2 linked regions of the Oryzias latipes genome follow. The main gene of each other region encodes a partner of the protein of the gene in region 2 in a complex. Links are inferred from orthologs where the notes say so. Each region holds a gene or a part of one and is shown on either strand. Other genes may lie near its edges.

Evidence for each region.
Region 1: the proteins of unc80 (region 2) and unc79 are in contact, whole or in part, in a cryo-EM structure (PDB 7W7G), measured with the Mus musculus proteins. The link is inferred for Oryzias latipes from reciprocal best matches to the Homo sapiens genes UNC80 and UNC79. Residues at the interface, in NP_780719.2 of Mus musculus: Gln23, Thr24, Trp27, Ser31, Leu34, Arg35, Pro36, Ala80, Pro83, His84, His87, Ser94, Asn95, Asn180, Ala183, Leu187, Phe190, Leu191, Arg337, Leu340, Gln341, Pro342, His343, Arg1317, Asp1320, Glu1321, Asp1324, His1545, Val1546, Asp1547; in XP_030102533.1 of Mus musculus: Thr120, Tyr123, Ser127, Ala130, Thr131, Leu168, Ser169, Ser172, Met175, Ile176, Gln179, Tyr180, Tyr207, Tyr211, Gly212, Pro213, Ser214, Val390, Cys391, Glu394, Glu402, Phe405, Arg472, Cys541, Asp917, Phe920, Ser965, Glu966, Phe967, Ser968.

The regions. Positions count from the first base shown.
Region 1 is NC_019880.2:12,388,094-12,396,010, reverse strand, and holds the start of unc79 (protein unc-79 homolog), read right to left. Parts: upstream 5,025-7,917; 5' UTR 4,605-5,024; coding exon 4,583-4,604; intron 3,406-4,582; coding exon 3,285-3,405; intron 399-3,284; coding exon 85-398; intron 1-84. UniProt on the Homo sapiens protein: Auxiliary subunit of the NALCN sodium channel complex, a voltage-gated ion channel responsible for the resting Na(+) permeability that controls neuronal excitability.
Region 2 is NC_019860.2:15,017,588-15,025,619, reverse strand, and holds the start of unc80 (protein unc-80 homolog), read right to left. Parts: upstream 4,759-8,032; 5' UTR 3,676-4,758; coding exon 3,584-3,675; intron 3,421-3,583; coding exon 3,372-3,420; intron 3,106-3,371; coding exon 2,949-3,105; intron 1,232-2,948; coding exon 888-1,231; intron 1-887. UniProt on the Homo sapiens protein: Auxiliary subunit of the NALCN sodium channel complex, a voltage-gated ion channel responsible for the resting Na(+) permeability that controls neuronal excitability.

The sequences.
Region 1 (7,917 bases), on a different chromosome or scaffold from region 2:
AAAAAAAGCAGCAGTGGCTTCATGCAGGCCAGGCGGCTCGTGGATGATGATGACAAACAGTGGTGCACTTGGGCCTTGACTCACCATGCTGACCGTGCTGCAGCAGGGGCACCAGGTCAAGCAGGGTCACGAGGGTCACATAGAGGCCCTGATAGTCCAGAGAGGGGTACTCTGAGAGCTGAGCGTCCCGACTCTGCTGCCCCTGCCCCCCGCGGTCTGACGGGGCATCGCGCAGAACGCTGTAAAGGAGGGAGCGAGTAACTGTAGGGTTGATGGAACTGACTTGTGGTCTTAGAGATGGGGTGAGTGGGAATGGCACAGGAAAAAGACACATGGTCATGGGCACGGCCAAATTGGAAGCTTCCTGGTTCTCCTTCCTGCCTGTGCGGGACAGAATGCTGCTCCGGGGGCGGGGAGGGGAGGGGAGGGGAGGTGGGAGAGGGGAACAAGGGAAAAAAAGAGACAACAAAGACACAAAAAAACAGCACATTACATTGAAATGGCACTACAGAGACAGCGTAAATAGAAAAAAACAAACCCAGATAAACCCCACATAGGATGCAGTGTCTCACTATTTTTGTACAGAAATGAAAGCATGGGTAATTTGCTCGCTGCTTTGTCTGTTCCAAATGACTTCATTTCAACCACTTTTAGTTTGGACTTGCTTTCCATTTTTAAACAAAACCAACGAGGAAAAAAACATGACCACAAACTGCAATGATCACTGCATCTCATGCGTATCTGGTGACAAGGAGCAAAAATATAAAAAATGGCATGTTTTCAGTGGCAACCCCATACTTCTCCAAAAACAGAAGGGACACAATAGCAAAGAAAGCACTGTCCCTCGGTGAATGCCATCTTCCAATCAGCAAAGTCACTGGATGCTATGCAGAAAGCCCAATGAGCCATGAAATGCAATTTACTGTGAAATTTCTTTGCGTTTAGTGGGGCTGTCAAGGATGGGAGTGACACCAAATTGGTTCGGGAAAATACAGAGGTGGCACTTTTGAAACATGCTTGAGCCTGTAATAAACATGTGTGTGAGGTTAGATCAAGAGCTCCTAGATCACAGCACATGTTTATTGCACCAGAGAAATAATGTCCGTATGCATACTTTATGATACTGCACCAGTATCATCGGAGTAAATAATGAGATCCAACAGGCATATGGATTCAGGTTTCTAAAATAAATGTAACAACTAATCTACAGTAGAGAAAAAACTAGAATGACAAAGGAATAGGTTGTATCAAAGGGGAGATGACTGGTAAGTATCATGTTTGTGAGCTAATGCAGGATGGACAATTGTGTTTGCTGTCCCCTGGGGAAGGTGGTGGACATATTGGACTTTAAGAAAGGGAAAAACAAAAGCAAAAACTAGTTGGGTTGAGTGTGGAGCATCTAGGGTGAAGGAAGAGGGGAAAGGAGGGGCCAGAGAGCATTGCTCTATTTTTTTTTTGCATGGTTATCAAAGAGCTAAGCTGTTCTATCAGGCAAATGGTTGTGATTTATCATGAGAGCCCAGATTATAGATAAATATCTACTACAGTTGTCTTTTTTTTAAAGAACACTCAAAAATTACATTTGGAGCTCCAAGGCAAGTGAGAAAGGGGATTGCATTGAAATTGTTCGACATGGTGTTGGATGAATAATGTTGAGCACCAGAACATAGTATTACAACATGTGACCGATCCCCTCAAAGTGATACTCTAAGATTTTAGTCAGCGACGGTTTGTTATAAAACTCATTAAAGGACTAAGTCGCAAAAGCAGACTATACCTCAGAGTATGACTTTTTCACCGCCTGTTTATAATAGAGACAACATCTTCAATTTGAACAATGAACATAGACAAAAACAGACCCGCTCACACACGTACGCTAGACATTCAAAAAACACACATATGTGCACGCAAACACATACACACACAAACATTTGCATATGACAAGTAACACATGTAGAAATGCACAGACATATGACGTACATTTACTGTCAAACCCTGCCCTGTCAACTGTGTGCATGACTTAAATTGTGGAATATGTGTATGGTCAATTGCTAAACTTTTCTCCAAATAATTATGCACTACAGTTTCCCATTTTGTTGTGAATGAGGCACTTAGGAAACAGATCAACTATTTTTGCTTTGCAGCCTTCTTTTTCTAATCTTCTAACCAACAGTGCATGAATCAACAACCTCAACTGACCACTCATCTGTCCGGAAAAAAAATAAAATAAAATGACACATGCCTGCTCCACTTTTCAAGGCTCACTACTTCTAACTCTGTCTTTCTTACCATGTTTTCCTTCACTCAGTGCCTTAGGAGGCACAGGTGCAAGAATAATCTCAGAGTCCCTGCTGAGGAAACAACGTTGTTCTAATGGCAGGCAGAGTGATTTTCCCTGCATATCTTATGCTAAGAGGTTGGGCTTTGGGAAAATATTGAGGCTGTGGTGAGAGCGGACTCCTGCTGAGTGATTCTCATCTTAGTCTGAGAATTCTTTCCCTCAGAGACAAAATCGTTACTTGAGTTCACACTGATTCCCACAGATGCAGCCCTTGTCACGCTCAATCAGTGCCGTGAGAGGCCATGTTTTTAACAGCACAGTGATTGCTGGTGCTTGGCAGCCCCTCACCAATGTAGGAAGTATCCAGATACCCTGCAGCAGATAAATAATCCTTTCGAAGCTGAGGAATAAAGCACCAAATCTAGGCCAGCTGCCAATCTCTAATAGATTGTTCCCAAAATGATTAAACTAGTGCTACTTTCGCAAAAAATTGCTAAAAAAAATAACAGCGCAATACCAAAATATCTCTTCATTAGTTTAACATCATTTTAAAGAATAGGACGTGTCTAAAATGTCTGCCTTCTTGACCTGTTGTAGAAAAAAACATTCCTTTCCTTCTTCGAGCTTTCAGATAACCCAAGAGAGCAGGCTGACCCTGCGGCTGCAAAGCTGGAGAAGCCAGCCCCGCAGGAAAGGACATGGAAGCAGATTGCCCAAGGGAGGCATTCATCTAGCAACTGGCCGCTGAATCAATAACCATCACGGACCTATCCGTCTTTACTTATGCTTCAGAACAACACCATAACACCAATACAGCAGAACAGGCATGGTAACTCATATTTAGCATTAATTTTCTATCAGAACATTTAATCTTGAGGCTTTTATTTTGGAAAAATGTGCAGAGATAACCTGGTGTGAGTAGTCTCATCTGCTGGTGAAGGAAGCTATAGGTGTTTAGCTAAGTCTGTGAATTCATCTGATGACTCTGGAACGGGTTACTTACCTGAGCAGCGTTTGGGAAAAGTATTTCAGTGTGTTTGCAATGTCTGTTCCGGAGGGCACAGGATAAATATTGTGTTGCACACGGTTGTGATACTCTTGCAAGTATCGTATCTTAGAGGCAACTAGACAAAATAAAGAGCAGAGTAGATCAAACAAAGCAAATCAACACGGTAGCAAATCCTGTTCTTAGCAGAATATATGCAGCTGCGCAAGAGCACAAATAAAAACACTGTGTGTTTCTCCTGTTGCTTGGCTGCGACCCAAGTGTGTCGCTCCGCCGTATATATAGAACATGAGTGTTTTAATTATCAAGTTAAACAAAGAGTCCATGTTCCCATGGCTCTCTGGCCTTAACCAGGTGACCTTTATGGTGCAGCAGTTAAGTCACAGGAAGCCTCAGAGGAGACAGTAACCTATTGCTTACAGAAATACACTTATGAACAAAAGGTTGTCAGTTCAAGTCCCAAGACAAACTGAAAAGAATGTGCTCAGCTTGAGCATGAGAGGGGCTTCCCTGCCTTCAAACATGCAGCAGCACCGAGACCAGCTGGCCCCTTCCTGTTGAACTAGCTCCATGTTGTGTCAGATGTCACTTTTGCAATGGCTAATTAAGACTTCAAAAAAAGCTGATGTGGGGAACACATGACCCATATTCAGTGACTTTGATGTTTAGCTTCCAGTCTGACCTGTAAAGCAAACTGTGGCTTGAGTTTAGGCGGCCACACAGCACAAGTGCCTCATTTTTCAATGCAAATAGACATCTTTGGTTATGTATTTTGAAATTCTGATGTCTAAGTAAATGGAGGTGTGTGGGGACACCCATTTTTAAAGCAATAAAATAAATGATAAAAAGAGGGGGGGGGGGTTGGAACATATTTAAATTCTAATCAAGTCTTACGGTCTTACATACAATCAAGTCGACCTTGAGACCATCCCGATTTTGCCCTCCATTCCCCAGTCACGTCAATCAAAAACAAAAAGAATTACAGCAATTATAACAGGTCTCATTTTCATTCCAAAAAAAGGATAGCGCATTTCTTTTTCCACCCATAGCCTAAAAAGGCAGAAACAGTGGCTGTCTCTGCGCACTGAAACCTCCAGCCGCAGTGAGAGGACGTGTTGCAACCTGCCTTGGCAACCGCGATTTCATCACCAAGGACAGCTCCCCGTTTTTTTCGCGTTCTTGCTCATGACAAAAAGAGAAGGGAGCAAAAACATAACAAAAATCCACGTTTCCCGCTTCCACCGAGCGCTTTCGCAAAGAAAACAGGAAAAACACACACAAAAAGCCGTACTTACACTGCTCTGCCTTGGTAGACATTTTGCAGACACTTGGAGAGACATAAAACCAAGACTGTCAATTGATTTCCCAGCTTTTTCTTCCACCCTCTTTCTCCGACGTTCCTCAGAAGCGAAAAAGTGGAAATACCTCCTTGCAGCCAGACTAGGCACGGCTTGATTGTACCACTCGGCGGAACGGATCTTGTTGCGGTTGGCGTCGTTTTCCTGCTCGTTTTTAAATGCCATTCACGGACAAACCCCTTGTTGAATCCTATTTTTAAACTCGACAATTACATCTCTTTGACGCACAGAAAAAAAAATCAACTATATGTCATATTTCTGTCACACCTTTCCAAATGGACTGATCCAGCTTTGACAAATTGTCATTCAAAATTTGCAAGAAACGATTCCTTATCTGAAGCAGAGCAAAAACACTGTGCGTTTGCCTCCGTATCCCTGTGCATCTGCTGCATGTAAAAGATGCATATAAAACGTGCAACAGATGGTTGTCACACAGTTCATGTCTTGGACAAAATACACTAATGTACTTGCAAGTGTTTTTATACTTTCCTAAGGTGAGCCCCATAATAAATACCTTAATTTAGTTTTTCTATAAATCAGCCTTGATTCATAACCTATTGTTCCATTATCAGTCCCCATGAGCAATTTAAAAAAAACGTCATTAGTAATGTGGGCACCATAAAACATGGGATACAAAATGCAGCAACAAAAATATTCTAAAAATCAAGAATATTTCTCATTTCACCCAACCCAGTTCTTGAAATATTTATGTTTGCATAGGTTTTTGGGATGTTTTTTTTAGATCAACACATTTTTTTTCATAGTGGTTTCATTTTAACCCAACCCAGAAAAGAGTATGTTCCTTTTCAACTCTCAAGTTAAAAGCAACCCAACTTGGAGGTTTTCGTGTGTTGTACAAGGGATTTATTGATGTGTATTTGTAGCTGCAAAAAAAAAAACTAAAAATACATTTTTCTTTATTTAAAACAGTACATTATTGACCAGGTATTGCAAAGAATATGTATCAAACGCTCCGTCATCTTTTAGTTCCAAAGTGGCATCTTGTCTTAAAAGCTGCACAAACTTGGGGGTCATTCCAAATGCAGAGTTCTCTCAGCTGTCATGGATGTGGAGGTGTTCTCTGTCGGTACTCTGGAACGTGATGCATGATCCATCCAGCTGGGGCAAGGAGAGTCACAGCAAACACGCACAGGGCAAAGACAGATTGCTGTAGAAAAATTGCAAAAGAACAGGAGTCATCCTTTTTAAAAGTTTGCTTTCTGGAACACAGAAAAAAAGTAAACCAGAATAATTTACTTTGTTATGTCGTCCACATTTTTCACCCTATAAAAAAAGTTGAACATCTGCTTTCACTACACAGTGTTGAAAGCTTTTACATGTTTTTCTTGCCGCGGTCCATCAATGTGTCTCTTTCCACTCTGGGATTCCTAATTTCAGATGCCATTTGTAAAAAACCTTCTGATTGTCCCCGAGGACAGATCAGCAGATTTATAGCAGCATAAATGCCGGCTTGGTCTGTTGCAGTTTCATCATAGCATTCTTTTTCAGAGGCCAGATTCTGAAACTGACATATGTACACAGAATTAATAAAACATGTTCTCTACTTTGCTGGCCTTGAAGGAATGTACGCTTTGATTCCTCTGGTTACCTTCATCGAAGTGTAGCTTTAAAGATACAGACCTTTGAGGAAATAAATAATTGATAGTGATGTTTTATAGGATAAATTGATATGAATGTTGCAATTTTTAGATATTAGCTGCATTCAACCTCTTTGTAAGGTGTTATAATTATCACATTACAATGGTCAAATCTTCATCATGTTATCAAAACTAAGCAGTCCTACCATTGGTCCAATCTTATCTTTTGGTGGCTTGCTGTAGATTCTTGATGTGTGGGTTTGTTGAATGGCTTTTATCAGCAGCAGTCCAGTCAGTGATGGTCTCTTGAAGGTAGAGATCATCCTCCTTGCTTCAAGTCAAACACTTAGTGTTCAGCTAAAGAGGATGTTCCTCCACACAGCTTCAGAGATCCAAGCAGATGACATCTACTTTAAATACTTCCCATCATGCTTCCTGGGAGGAGTTGCCTTCAAGTGATAAACATACTTAAGTAAACACAGTGAGTTGTCTTTGGGATAGAGCCATTGTCACTGTCCAGTTAAGGATTAAAGTTAAATGAATTTGGAGAATTATATAAACCAAGGACTGTTATAAGCCTGAAGCTCAGTTTTGTTTACATATGTAGTATACAGTATAAAAGGAAGGGGAGAATATAATCATCTGGTCATTAAACAAAAGCTTCAGGAAGCATCATAAAACTGAATTTATCAAAAAAAAACATCTAATGAAGGACACACAAGACAATAAACTTATGTACAGTAAAGTATTCCAATAAGATTTTCTAAATAGTCTTTGTATCTTGGAAAACAATAACAATAAAAAGAAAACAGAAAATGAACGGTCCTAACTATAAAACATTGTCATAAATGGTTTAGCTTGTTCTGAAGTGGAAAATATTATTCAAAAATTTATAGTTATTAATCATGAATTTAATATGAAATTTATTAAATAGATGTGAGATATGAAGACATATAATATTAAAATTAAAGCTACTTGATTGGCTATAGCAACTTATTGCTCCTAATTGTGCACTTTTAAAGAAATTCTTTTACAGGACAAATAATTTGTGGTAACTGACTGTTTTTTGTGAGGCAACCTATTTGAGGTTTTAGATTATAACATTTGTAACATTTCCGTTTTTCTGTATGTTTTGATAATATTATTTCTAAGCCTTTCCAACAACAGACACCAATTTTATGTATCCAGACGCCCTCATCAGGATACTAAAGGAACTTGATCCAACCAAAGGTAAACCTCAGGGTAGAAAACCACTCACATCGCCGTCAATTGTTCACTAGGGGGCGCTTGATCATTGCAGAGTCTTCCAGGTATAAAAAGGCCTCTTCGACCGTCAGCGTACGTCTGACTTTTCAAGCCACCGGAAGTTACAGTAGGACTGTTATTCCGGTTTCACAATTGAAGCAGAAAACTATAGAAAAAACAAAATTGTTAGATGGGATTTTTTTCCTTTATTTTACGGTAGGAAAGAGTTTACATTCATTTTGCTTTGAATCAGCATATGAGGTAAAGAGAAGATATTGTTAAAAGAAAACATTTGTTAAGAACATAAAATCGTTTTATTTTGAAATTTGTAACAGGAAACTCAAGTAGCGTTTCTGCTATTCTCGAATTAGTAGCTTTGGGATAGGCCATAATAATCATCCAACAAGGCGTTGAGCCACTATGGGGGAA
Region 2 (8,032 bases):
CAAGCAATGCCTCAAAAAACTGTCATTGACATAAATTATTAGAGCAAATTGTGTAATAGAAGAAAACGCTCAGGAGGCCCCGTCCTGCTAAGGTTCACATCACCCTCGGCGAAGCGCGCTCAAGTAGCCGCTTGTTAACAAGTTTTGGGCTACCGTGTTCAAAACTTCCCACAAGGCTACGCAGGTTTCTACGGCCGTTTTCGGGCTCTACGTACGAAACGAATGTCCATTGAACCATGTTGCAAGCTAAACTTTGAGCAATCGGGTTTGTTGGTGGCGAATAGACGACGTCCCCTTTAATTAATGGAAGACATGCCAAATGTTTGATAACTTATCATGGAGGAGACATGAATCTTTACATTTTGTGTGTGGTTGGAATCATATGACATCTAGTCTTTCATGAATAGAGCTGTGAAGGAAAAAGCCTGGAGCAAGAATCACAAGATTTGTACAGCTTCAACATTTGGCACCAAGCCTCCTCCAACTGTCGGTGGTGGACATGCGCTAGAAAGTAGTATTAAAAGAAGAAGAAGCTGCTCCCTGCTTGTCCAGTGTGAGCATAATGGGCTAAACGCACCAGCAAGAAAGCAGATTTAGTGTAGCTTTAGAGTTAAAGAAGCTTAAATTAAAGTTTTCGAAAAAGGACAAATTCCTCAAATATTTTATGTTTGCCTCGCTAGCTCTATTTTGGTTCAAAGGCACAATTGATTTAAAAAAAAAGGTTTTTGATATGCAGTAAATAGTAAAAAAAAACAACAACAACAAAGCCCCCCCCAATTGAATCAGCCCCGGGCCCCAAATAAACAAAATCCACCCCTGCCTGCTCATGTTTATCAGGCAAATTGACAATAAAAACAAAAGTTCAGATGTCGGCTGTATGTTTGAACCTTAATGCGATGGATGAGCGGCGCCAACAGGAAGACAAACAGCTCCACGGTGGCCATGCTCTTGTGGAAGAGCTTGGCACGGGCGTTTTCGTCCTCCTCCTGAAGAGAGCTGCCGTGGAGAGGTCCCGACCCGATCAAAGCCGAGCCCGGGCTGGAGCCCGGAGCCCCCGGCGAGGATCCCTGGTCCCCAACTGGTTGGAGGAACGCGCTGCTTCCGCTGCCGCCTCCGGACCAGCCGTGGCCCAGGCTGGGTTCATGGTTGCACTCCTGCGCGGCGTCCAGCAGCATCCAGTGCAGAGTGTGAAGCAGTTTGGTCTCAGCCACGCCCAGCTTGTCCTGGTGGCCTGTTGGAGGTTAGATATGTTTTTCCTCTGAGCTTTGAAAGCACCCACAAGTGCATTTGTCCCTTTTTTTCTGCTCTAAACATCGAGCTAACCTTTGGATGGTAATTCAAGCTTCATTATACCAAAGGGGTTGTTGGACTTATCACACATTTCCACATCCAGGTGTGTTGCCATGGCAACCTCGTGTGGAAAAAAGGTGTCTGTGTGGGACTTTAAATGTTAGTCATAAATATTTTTATGAGAGACTGCGTTCATCAAGTGTGCGACCAATTCCTTAAGCAAAAAAATATATATAAAATAAAATCGTATAGAACTTGTAGTAACCATGGCAAAACGCGAAATTTTGAACCATGTTTGTTTTTTCAATAATAATTTTTATTTGGCACTGGTATATGTGGATTCATCTCAAAGATCCACAAAAAATGGAGTGACATTCAAAAAATCATTTCAGGAATTCTTTTGTACTTTTGTAGAAATTTGAATTTGGGCATTTCTGAGAAGCTCTTGGTGGAACCTAAACTTAACTATTCAACGCTGAAGATGTTGCTGGTGACAACGAAATAACACGTACTCTTTGACCGTTTACACGATCAGCGTGAATCACATTCTCACTTGGAGAAATGCGACTTTTCGTGCATAAAAGTGCAAAGCTGCTTACGTCGATGTACGTTAATTGCGTAAGCACTTCGCTACTGCAGAGTGTCTGGAATCTGCTGGAGCAACATTAATTGCCTAAATGCTTGAAGAGTCACGTAGTCAAAGGAATGTCAACACTAGAGCTAAAGGATGACGCCCCCAGCGCTGCTGCTACGTACATTTTGTGGATTTTCCACATGTAAAATTTCAGTTTTTCGTGATACATGTGTGATATACATAATTCATAAGTGTGTCTTGCGCTCGCCATTTATCGATGTGCTCAGATGTCCGTCGAAGGTTTCTAGCCGACGGGACTTCACGTGAGTTCGGTTTTGAGCTGTTCAAAGTTTTTGGTCAGTTAAGAATTACGCGTGTTTTACGTAGTTTTTACGTTATTATTACGTACATATTACGCAATTTTGTGTGATTTTTAGCATGGACCACTAATGAATAACTTTTATATCGAGTATACGGCGGACATTTAACGTTAAAATTATGCAATCGCTAAAAAAAAATCACGAATGAGTTGCATATACAAGCTGGCTCGGTTCATGTTCTACGTTGTTCTTTGCGTGATTTATTCGTACATATTTTGGGTTTTAGCTTGTTTGATTAGTGACACATCTGTGATAATTTTACGTAAAAAAAACAATTTTTCTCCCGTTTTTCACGCATATTCGCGTATTACCAATTTTTATCCATGCAATATGTGCAAAATGTACCTAGTGTCTGTGTGACACGGCCATAAAGCTCCAATGTACAACATTCCTGTCAACAACAGGCAGTTCGTTAAATTATTTGACAAAAAGAGATCTTGGATTTTGTTGCCATGGCAACATTATCCGTAAGTCTGATTCATGCATTGATGCAGCTTCAATCAGAGGTTTGTTCTTGTACGTTCAAGGTGTTGTTAGACTTTTTTTCTGTATCTTTTCATCTCATTTGTAGCCCTTCACTGTGGGAAACACACGTCTTTTCAAACATGTTTGTCTTTCTGTAATCTGATCAGCCGGTACCCAGTGGAGGATCAGGACTCTTCTGCAAACAGACGACCCAGATAACGGCGCTCACGCCTCCTCACCCAGTTTGTTCCTGTTTGACAGCAGGATGGAGGTGCAGTGGAGGACATGGGGCAGCGCCGCCTGAACCAGCTCCCAGCGGGAGATGCTCTGGATGGCTTCGGACAGCTCCCGGGAAAGTCCGTGCAGCTTGTTCTCCACCAGCACCCGCTCGAAAGACTGGCGAGGGTGGAAAAAAAAAAAAAAAGAATTCAGGTGACAGGGATTAGACAGAACGTGCTTAATGTCCCACATGGTGCCAAAGTGGGTAAAAGCCTACAGCACTACAGGATACGATCTAGAAGATGTGCCATTATGGATATGAGTTTCCAGGAGGGGAAATCCATTTGGTAAATGTGAAAAAATCATTTAAAAAATGCCCTGCAGGTGCGCAGAGGTAAAAGAGATTAGTGGATTATGTTGATCCACATCAGGAAATGACTCACCACACATGATGCCTCATATTGTTTCCCCAACTTTGGACGCAGGAAAGCGCTGGGAAAAGAAAGAAAGAAAAGGAAGGGATCAGGTAAAAGACAAGTGTGACATCATCTGCTTCTCATTCAGAACTGGCCAGCTTCCCCCTCCGTTTGGTCGGATTTAGCCCTGAGAGCTGCGGCAGCGACGACAAACACCTGTTATGTATCAGAGCACCGACCTGGTCTGGCTCCACAGGAAAGTCTGGATGGCGAACGGGATCCCCTTCCCGCACTCCGGCTCGTTCTCATCCAGGCTCTTCCTCTTCACCATTTTGGCCCGGACCTGACGGCTCCGTCTCTGCGCTCACCCCCCCTCCACCTCCACCACCACCACCTTTAGGGAGCGATCAGCTGCTGGCTCTCCACCTCCGCCCCCTTCCAGGTGACGGAGCGAGGCGCGCTCACGACATGTTTGCGTAAAATGGCTGCAAGTGGCGACCGGCGGCGGAGATGGTGACGGAGGGAGGAGGAAGATCAGATGGGGGGCGCTCTGATTTCAGCACTTCCGTCACCGGACAGCGACAGCTGATTGCCCGAATTTATCGGCGCCTGAAGACGCAGTGCGCAGCCGCGCCGGTCGGTCCCCCCAAAACATCTGTGCGCCGCCGCAGTGGCCCTCATCCGGACGGCGCGTTCTTACCGGGCTTTGCGCATCCACTTATCAACAGGTTGGACCACGATCAGTCAGTGGATTCTGGAAGGAAGCCAATTTACTCCCCAGAAAAATGAACATATTTCTATCTGGGTGATTCTCAGAATCAGGTTTACCTCAAAGATTTTCATATCAAAGACCCACTCCAATGAGAAAAATAATCTGGGGGTGTTTTTAACACGTTTTTGTAGCATTTCTTTTCATGACGGAGGACATATATTAGGAAAATTATGCTTAACATTTAAGTATTTCTTTTCTCAAATCGTTGTGAATCAGGACCGGACGAAAAACGTGCAGTATGAAATAGCTTGTAGATGTGACGTAGCACCTACAACGCAGGCCACAATATTCTAATGCAGCCACGTGTAGTCGTCTACATCCATGTACATTTTCATTTTCTTCATCTGAGCTGGTTCAAAACTGTACAGCTGGATAGCTTCAATACCGCTCGCCATTTTTGTTACGCCATCAACGTAAATACGCTGATTCTGTCGCAGATAGAAGCAGCTTTGCACGGTTGTGCACTAAAAGTCGCGCTTCTTCGATTCACGTTCATTGCGTGAAATGTCAGAAGTTACACTGGGACAACTGTGAGTACATGCGCTAGTAACAGGTAGGGACAGTCCAGAGTGAACACCCTCCTAATGCTAAAAGTGCGATCTTGAACACGCATCACATGGTGTGTACGTAGCATTACACACACAAATTATATTTACTGTTGTTTAGAGACAATAAACATTTGTCTTCGTTAAATATATTGATTCCTTTTCTTTCTCTTGCTATTTGATGATCTTTATTCTAGCAACTGTACACATATGCCTATTTTTAGCTAAAATAATAATTAAAAAAACTGGATGAATTCTTGATACAAGGCTGAAAAAAAAGTTGTATTGCACAGAAGATGGTGATGATGAAGGTGATTACCAAAGAACTGTAAGACTTTGCTTCAACATGTTTCAGAGTTATTATGATAATCTGATTGTCCTGATTTTAAGGGGTAGCTTCTCCCACTATGTCTCAACAAGAGTACGATTTAAAATCACTTTGGACACATTTATAGTTAAGCTTTCTTATTTCTATAGTCTGTAAAAATATATACCAATATCATCTGACAGTAAAAAAAACAAAACACATATATATTTTTTGCATATTTTATTAAATGTATTGCCAAACTGCATTTATATACAAAGTTCTAACCTAACAAAACTCTTGTTTTTTTTAAACAATTCATTCATTTTCTAAAACCATTTTGTCCCATGATAGCGTCACAGGGCTGCTGGAGCCTATCCCGACCACCCGTGGGTGAAGGAAGGAGACATCCTGGACAGGTCGCCATTCTGTCCCAGGGCCACAAATCACACACACATGCACACTCAGATTCACACCTTAGGGCAATTTAGAGTAACCATTTATCCTATGAAGCATTTCTTTGGATGGTGAGAGAAAGTCAGAATCCTTGCAGAAAACCCTTGCATGCAAACTTGAGAGCATGCAAACTCCACACACAAAGGTCCCCCATTGATGTTGTGGTTCAGGTCGCCCAGCTGGGACTTGAACCGGGGGCCTTCTTGCTGTGAGGCAAGAGCGCCAACCACTAACCACTAAACAAGTCAGGTACTACGGTAATTCCCAAACCATTTCCTGTTTTCTGACAGGCAAAGACACATGTAGGCAGTTGTACACTGTCAGCAACGTCCCTTGGTTGTTTTTTTCCTGGAAAATGCCCAAACATGTCTTTGGAAAAGTCTTGTGGTGGGTGTACAGCGGATCGCTCGACAGGGACTGGCATCGTCACCGAACTGTCTCTTCTTGGTACCCGGTGGTATCTCTGGTGATTGGAGTGGGCTTCAATGGTTCGAAGATGGTCCTCCTTTTTATTTTTTTTTTATTTTTTTTAAGGGATGTCATTACCTTGAGATCAAAAACTAGAAATGTGGAGGAAACTCCAAATGTGCTGCTGTAGCCACATTTTGTACATCACCTCTTTAAACTTGGCTTCACCCTTTGCTTCCAGATTCCCAAGGATTCCTAAGCGAAATACCTAAATGTGTTTTGAACATCAGCTGGAAACATCTGGGTATGGTTACAGAGTTCAAGGGTCACTTCCGTGAAGATCTCAGGTCACGAAACGAGTCTGAATCCCGCTGTTTAAACTCCGTCTGGCACATCATGGGCACAAACTGTTTGGAAGTGCAGTTCGTGGACGCATCTTCCAGGAAGATGCTTTGGCTTGATGCTAAAAGGAACAAACAACGATCCAAATATTTTTGATCACGTAAATCAGGATAAGAATAGGACAAGTAGCAGAAATAGTGTTTTGGGAACTTTTCTGACAAATACAAAAAAACTCCCTTTTTGCAAGTCTTAAAATTTCGAGATGGTGTTGAAAAACTGTGTCTAAATGCTTTAAAACAACTTGTAGGGACTTTCAGCATTCCTTTGTTTAAAACATTTTTTTTTAACAATGTCTGGTTGATTTAAACAAATGTCTCAACTTGTGAGCCGTCAGGTTTGCCTCAGAAGAAAAAAAATACTGGGAGCAGAGAGAATGGAATGACAAAACCAGGGGGTCAATGTGTGTGGTCGGATTTATGAAGGTTAAAGGTCGGGATACCGCTCCCCTATAAGAGTGTGTGACCAGAATGAAGACGAGACTCTTGTATCTGTCCGGGTCTTCCACACTATTCTTTGTTAAATACCCAGTATGATGAAATTTGGGTTTTTTTTGGTGTTCTTGTGAGATTTTTTTACTGATAATGGAGAACTCATAAAGAAAATTAAGCCCATACCTACATTTTTGAGAATTTTTTTAATTCAAATTGTTGTGAATCAGGAGCAGAAACGAGTACCGGGCCCTCCCCGACCTGCTCACACCCAGGTGTGCATAGAGATAATGGAGAACTAACATATATGTGCTGTAACTGTTTGCAATCCCTAAGAAGAGATATGGAGATTTTAGCTTCCACATTTTACCCAAAAAGCAACGGTGGAAGGGAAAGGGGGTGGGGTTGCTCCGTAGCAACGGTTCTCGCCCATACCTCGGAGGCGAATTTTTTAAGGAATTACTGCCACTCTGCAGAAACTGTCCTGATAAAAACAACATCGATTTTAGCTAAAAATGGCATAATCGTAATTAAAAGAGCACCAGGAACAATCCTTCAGGAGATCAAAAGATGATCGAGTGGGTTTGCTTAACCCATTTCCTGGGATTTGTATAACTCAAAACAACAAACGAAATAATTATCTGAAGATTTCTGCTTCTCACTTCCTGAAACCTCTGCCGTCGTGGCAGAGCGGTCAGGCAGAGCGGTCAACATCTTAATTGGAAAGCCCACAGGTTTGGCTCCTGTCTAACTTTCCCGTATGTTGAAGGGTGTTAGACTATGAATCCCACAGCGCTGCTGATGGTTAGAAGTTGGCATCAGTGTTTGGCAGCAATAACCTAATCGTTGCCATCTCTGCTGTATTAGTATGTTTACTTTAGAAGTGTCAAACACGCATCGTGCTAAATTTAAGGATTTGTAATTATTGCATTAAACCAGTATTATTCAACTGGAGGGTTTTTCATTATTTCTTGCTTATTAGCAGATTCAAAAAAAACTTTTCATTTTTTTACTTTTTTTGTTTTGTAATACACAAACCATATTTAAAACTGAAACACATCTGTGACCCAAAAATAATCCTTGTGTCCCCTTTGTGCATGGCTGAATGGAACTGTGACTGTAAAGTGCCTTGGGGCTTCATAAAGGTAGAAAAGCACTAAATAAGTTTACACCATTTACCATTTACAATGTGTGTTCCTTTAAATATAGCTCCACTAAAAAGGGTATCAAGCCTTCCTACATAAATAAGATTTACTGCCAAGGAACAGAATTAAAAACAACAACAACCAAATAGTCAATCAAACAGACACTTCTTTACTTTTTGTAACACGTTAAAAGTCCTGATAAGTAATACAAATCAGGTACAGGCTTAA